2 separate regions of the Mus musculus genome follow, and region 2 is reported to be linked to region 1. The links are microRNA targets in miRTarBase. Many come from high-throughput screens and were not tested one by one. Region 1 holds a microRNA gene; the other region holds the end of a gene's coding sequence.
The links. The annotated mature microRNA mmu-miR-1941-5p reads AGGGAGAUGCUGGUACAGAGGCUU and lies in region 1 at 1,995-2,018, shown strand. An mRNA with a match to its seed (bases 2 to 7 or 8) in the 3' UTR can be bound and repressed. Matches are read on the target gene's strand: a 7mer-m8 pairs with bases 2 to 8, a 7mer-A1 pairs with bases 2 to 7 and ends in A, and an 8mer does both.

Region 2: miRTarBase lists Mtpn as a target of mmu-miR-1941-5p. Seed matches in the 3' UTR shown: 7mer-A1 at 758-764.

Annotation. Positions count from the first base shown.
Region 1 is chr15:101,367,370-101,370,517 of GRCm38, forward strand. It overlaps Mir1941 (microRNA 1941), which reads left to right and starts at 1,983; the gene lies at 1,983-2,065. Krt80 (keratin 80) reads right to left here and starts at 2,793. Exons shown (of 9, transcript NM_028770.3): 1 at 2,386-2,793. The coding sequence starts at 2,685. All of the region lies in intron 1 of Gm35853 (a long non-coding RNA gene), which reads left to right.
Region 2 is chr6:35,509,827-35,512,826 of GRCm38, forward strand. Mtpn (myotrophin) reads right to left here. Exons shown (of 4, transcript NM_008098.4): 4 at 1-2,491. The coding sequence ends at 2,405. Among named protein-coding and RNA genes, the nearest start is that of Mtpn, 29 kb to the right of the region's middle.

The sequences.
Region 1 (3,148 bases):
GTCTTTCCCCGTGGCTGTGGACTTGTTAGCCCCCCACCGGCAGGAGCCCCAGAATCTGAGGCACAGAGAGGGTAAGTGACTTACTTAAGGAAACACAGACTTCAAGGCAAGCACACACCACAGTGGTAGGCTTTTCTGCCGGGCTCTAGAGGAACGACTCCCTTCGCTTCCACAAGCACTCGTTTCTCTGGGAGGCAGAAGGCTTCGAAGGGGGAGAGGAGTGGAGTCCTCCTTCCTCTTCTCTGCTCAGGATCCCAGCCTTGCTCTGGGCCTGGAATCCATTTTCTGTGCTTTCCCTGCCAGTACTTCTCTCTGAAGCCTGGGCTGTGCCTTGCCCTATGGCCCCTCCCCATCCTTTCCCTTCCTCTTCGGGCCTGCGGTGTGTGTGGCTAGGAGCTCCCTGAATGAGGCTTATTTGCTCAGAAAACTTGCACTATCTGCTAGATGTGTTCCAACTACTATTCAAAAGTCGTCCCATTTGATTGAGAAACCCATTACATGGATGTGCACTGAGGCCCAGAGAGGTTCAGCAGGTTGCCTGCAGTTACACAGCAGACTGGTGGTGGGTCCAGGGTTCAAACTCAGAAATAGGGTTCTAATACTTTTTTAGTCCCTTGGGGTCTCCCAAGCCTCTGCTTAGCACAGGGCTGGAACCCATAGTTCCCTGTACCCTACAGTGATGGGCACCCCACCTCAAGGCCAACTTTGAGAGCTAGGAAGCTTGAGTTCTGCTAAGGACCTTCAAGGACCCTAACTGTGAGGGCTCCTTCCCTGGGCCCACACCCACGGTTCCCACCCGGTGCCCATGGCAGTGGCACAGAGTGACATCAGCATTGGCAATCGTTCGAAGGAGAGAAAAGCCACCCATGGGAGCCAAATTACATAGTTCAGCGAAGCACTCCTTTTAAGGGATTAGCCAGGCTTGTCAAGGAGGCACCTCTGCAGGGCCTACCTCTCAGGCCGTGGGTTCCATCTGCAGCTGTGGAAAGGTCTTCTTGCTCCTCCCCCAATGTGGGCATCTTGGATGTAAATGAGGAGACTCTGAACTAGTCAGAAGAGGCAGGGAAAGACACCATTTCTGCCTCAGATCTCTCTCTCTCTCTGTCTCTGTCTATCTGTCTGTCTGTCTGTCTGTCTGTCTGTCTGTCTGTCTGTCTGTCATACACACATACACATCATACACATCATACACACACAGACCTGAGTTTAAATATAAACCGTATCAGTTGTTGGCTCTGTGACTCTGGGCAATGCAATGAGTCTCTCTGGTCCTATTGCCTCATCTGCACAGCTGGGAAAACAACGTTTGTAGTGATGTTAGTTAGCACTGGCCCACCGCCGCCTTGCTACGTTCCTGTGGCATTCAGGCATCCAGGCCACACGTGGCACTCTCTTCTCACTGCCTGTCTGTCTGTACACCCCCACAGCTCAGGACCCCAGAAATGTGCAAGGGTTTGCAGACTCAGAAACCAAGAGGCAGATAAGGACTGGCCAGGGTTCCCTGTTCTGCGCAAAGTCATGAGATGTCTTTCTTTACAGTTAAGGGGATTTGAGGTGAACCTGTGAGGTGCCCTGTGGTGCCTAGCACACCAGTGTGTAGTTCAGTCAGTGCGGCTCTGACACAGGAGGAAGCAGGGCTGGGAGGATTGTTCACAGAGGCTTCTTGGAGTGGTTGAGTGGGCACAGGCTTGGAAGGTAGACAGGACTTCCTGAAGCCCTAGGCTAGCTGCAGGCAGTGAGTCTAGGAAGTGTGGGGGCCATGTTGTTAGGGGCCTGTTCCTTCCACCTAGGTGAGTGCAAAGCAGGCCAACTGTTGGCTGCTGGCTGGATTCTGACACAGTCCTCTACATTCCTTTCTCCTGACAAGCCAAAGTTGCGTCTTTACTCATACAAACTCCATGGCAGCCTCCTTCTGCCCCCGCTCCCACCCCCACCCCTTTGGACCTGCCAGAACAGTGGCTCTACGGATGAATGGGGAAAGCCAGCAGGGTGGGAGGGAGATGCTGGTACAGAGGCTTGGGGTTTTGAGGGCATCTTAGCAGTATCTCCCATCCACCCACCTGGGCAGAAGTCAGCAGGCCACACCTCCATAGGCCATCCCGAGAAGCACCCCTTGACTGTTACAGGGGTACACGGAGCCCTCCCATCCCCAGCCAGGTAGTGCACCCTTATCCAGTACCCCGCAGAGTCACCCTGAAGTTCCTTTCACCCCAGACACCAGGATGTATCAGGTTTCCCTAACCCATCTCTGCAGGTTTAGCCATGCTGCATCCCCATTGGCTGGGATCAGGGGCGGGGCATGACCGATGCTCAGGGAACCACCAGCCAGGTCACCTGGAAAGCCTGGGGCCCTTCTGTTTTGGTGCCCTCTCCCACTTAGCTCACCTTGCCAATCAGGGAGGCAAATTTATCATTGAGAGCCTTCATCTCCTCCTTTTCTTGATTCTTCTGCTGTTGAACAGCTGGATCCACCTTGAGGTCCAGAGGCACCAGCAGGCTGGGGTTCACAGTCACCTTGGGGATGGTGCCAGCTGGCCTGCAGCTTGTGAGGCTTCGAGAGCTGAAGCCAGGCCCAGGGAGCCCACAGCTGCCCCATCCTGAGGTCCCAGGCTGGGGACTGCCCGCAGGGGTCATCTCACAGCCGCTGAGGCTGCTGAAGCCAACGACGCAGGAGCGGTAGGCCATGGTGGCCCCCCTGGGCCTGGGAGCCGGAGGGCTCACCAGTGAGCTAGGGAGATTTGGAGTTGGTGGCTGGCAGCCGCCTCCTGTCACATCCAGGGCCGGCTGGGGACTGAGGCGAAAACACCTGTTGCATAGTGTTCATTAGCTACAGGAGGGCGGGACTCCTCCAAGCCAGACCAACCTGTTAGTTAGATGATGTGGCTCCCGCCCTCCCCGTACCACAGCTTTCTGTCTGCCCTACAGGGGCTCTGCCTTGTTGAAGGGGCTTGTCACAGTCCCCTGCAAGAGGGGCCTGACTGAGGAGGGGGCCTGCGGCCGGGCTGGCTGGGTGGGGCAGGGTGGGGCCGGGTGGTCAGTGCCAAGAAGGCGAAGTTCTGAAGGAAGGAGCAGGGAGAAAGGCGGGCAGCCAGCCACAGATCACGCTGCATACCGAAAGGCTGACGTATCTGGGCTCGCATACTTCTGG
Region 2 (3,000 bases), not on the chromosome of region 1:
TTGTACCAAAAGCAGACATTTTAGCTTCATTTATTCAAAAATATTAACATTAAGTGTCATGAATTTCTCTGCCAAGTGGTTCAGAAATACATTATAAATAACCTAGTTTTTTTTTTGTTTATTTTTGTTTATTATTTTTTTAAAGAAACTGTAAACCATCCTGGTCAGTCTATCCTAGTCTATGTTTATATGCTATTTTCTCAAGCAATCACTTCATAGCTATGGGTTTACAAAATGGCCAACAAAGGGGGAAGGCAAAATAGCCTCTACTGCATTACAAGGAACACTGGGATAAACTGTACAAAGAATCATATGGTTTTGGTACCATAATGACTGTAGAAAGCAGACCCAAGTTCTGGAATGATAAGACAATATACACTCTGCAATAGCCAACTATAACAGAAGACTTTGAAAGAAAAATTGAAAATTGTGTAAAGGGTAAAATTCAAGCCTTTAAAATAGTATGCCAAGAGGTGAAAACAAAGGTCTCAAAACACCCTGTTGCATTATATTGACTCATAGACTGATCATGTGCCTTCCACTTCCTAGCAGAATGTCCAACTCTATAGCTGCTTGGCCTTTTGGTTAAGATTAAGTGTAGGATATCCAACTCTAGTAGGCTGCATTAAAACAGCAGAGCTAGCCAAATATATCAAAGTATTTAAACTACTGTTTTGTGATTGTTTTCTTGGACATAGAAAAACTACAGGGGCAGGCTAGTTGAAAGTGAAAAAGCCACAGGATAAAAAAGAGTTCATGGGAGAACACACACACACACACACACACACACACACACACACACACACACCCCAACCAATTATCAACTGATTAATAGTTATTAGCCAGGCTGATTGTTCTTAGTAATAGTTTAACCCTGCTATATAATGCTACAATGCCTTAAAAAAAATCAGTTAGGTTTTTAATATTATTATCCCTAATGTGATTATAAGTCCCTATCCCATCACCTACCCTTTAAAAATTTGAGGTACATTCAATTATTGCATGATTGGCTATGGAAAGATTCTAATAGTTTTTGTAATCCTGTATAGATGGCAAATTAAAAGCAAAAGACATCTTAATACTTAAAGTGTAGGCCATCAAATTTAAGGTTGTATGTTTTAATTCATTTTATTGTTCATGAAAGAAAAAGTTAGAGATAAGTTTCTCTTATCTGCAGGTCCTAGGAATACCGTTTTAGGGCACTGTATTATAAGAACACAGAATGCATTTTGAAGTTGTCACATGTATGCAAAGAATGATTGTTAAGATAAAAACACCATGCAGGTGGGGTGGTACTGGCCCAGCAAGAGTCTATTACCAGCTCAGGAGAACATGGTAACAAGAATGTTTTTGAAGGGATGAGGTCCCATCTGTCCAAATACAGTACATCTCACCCCAGTGATACCTTTGGTGCACTATAAAATCAGCATCCATGGTGGGTTTTTGAGAGGCATTCCAAAGAATATTCTTCATTCTCCAAACACAACGAAGGCTGGCTCACTCAAATAGCAAATGAAGAAACTCCATAGGTACTAAGACAACTGTTCTCTCTTTATAAGATACTAACACGCTTATGGCTATGATTTTATTTTTAAATCTCCTTTACTACCAGAAGGAGTCTCAAAGTGTTTCAATGTTATATAAATGTCTGAGTCTAAAGGAGAAAAAAAGAAATAAGCCTACTGGAATGATTCCTCCTTTAGGCTCCTAGAATTTAACATTTTATAAATAAAACTAGTCAGTTTTATCTAAAGAGACATGAAATTGATGTGAAAGGGGAGAGAAAATCCAAAGTTTAGTCATCCAGCAATTCAGGAGTGCGCTGCTCCTTACCTTATCTAAGCTCTTATGTAAAGATTAACGTCATTCTAGAGAGATTTTGGTCACTAACCGCTCTTAACTAGCCAGGAGCCCCCAGGAGAGTGCATTCTTAAGGCAGAAGGCTATAGCTAATTGCTTATCTCAGCACCCTATGTTGACATAACAGCAGCCACTACTGCTCACAGCTAGGGCTACCAAATAAGTAGAGTTGGCCTTGTATAGTCAGACCTTCAATAAACTAATTAATAAATTAGCTAGGGAGCTGAGAAGGTCCAATGATTCCAATAGACTGTATTTTTGCTCTCCCTTGGGAATAAGCTGTATATTTTACTGGAAATGAAAAACAGGCTGGTTTGATCAGGAATCCCAGTAAAAGTCTCATCACATTCCCCACTGCTCCTCCAAAACATGTTTTATTCCCCTCCCCTGGCAGTCTGATTTGTTATGAATTTCTCTCTCCCTTCACCCTCTTAAAGTATTTAGCTGAAGAAGCTGGCAGATAGAAAGTGACAGACAGACAGGCAGCAGTGTGAGGCCACAGGAGAGTCATCCTTCCCAAGTTATCAGTCCGTCCATCCATCTATCACTGGAGAAGAGCTTTGATTGCCTGGTTGTCAGTGGCTTCAAGGGCGGTCAGTCCATCTGGGCCTTTCACAGTCTTATCAGCACCCTGAAAAAGAGAGGAGAGAACCTTCTTTAACTGAACTTACACTAGGGAACAGCAAGTGCCAGAGGTGGCTATGTGGCATAGGCCTTTTTTATACTCTGATTCCTAGAATCCATGGTGGAAGGCCTGAACCAACTCTGGACAGTTGTCTTCTGTCCTTCATACTGAGCTATAACACATACATGGCTATACTCACATACATACAATAATAAGATAAAAATATTTTAAAATGCATTTTTTTGGTGTTAGAAATTATAAGAAACAAAACAACTGTCTTAATTACTGTTTTGTTGCTGTAAAGAAACACCATGACCAAGGCAACTTATAGAAAAAAGCATCTAATTGGGGGCTTGCTTAAAGTTTTAGAGAGGTAGTCAATGACCATTATGGTAGGAAGGAATGAGAGCAGGCATGACACTAGAGGAGTAGCTGAGAGCTTACATCTGATTCATAAATCCAGATTGAGAGATTGGGAATGGTGTAGGTTTTGGAAATCTCAAAGCCCAACTGCA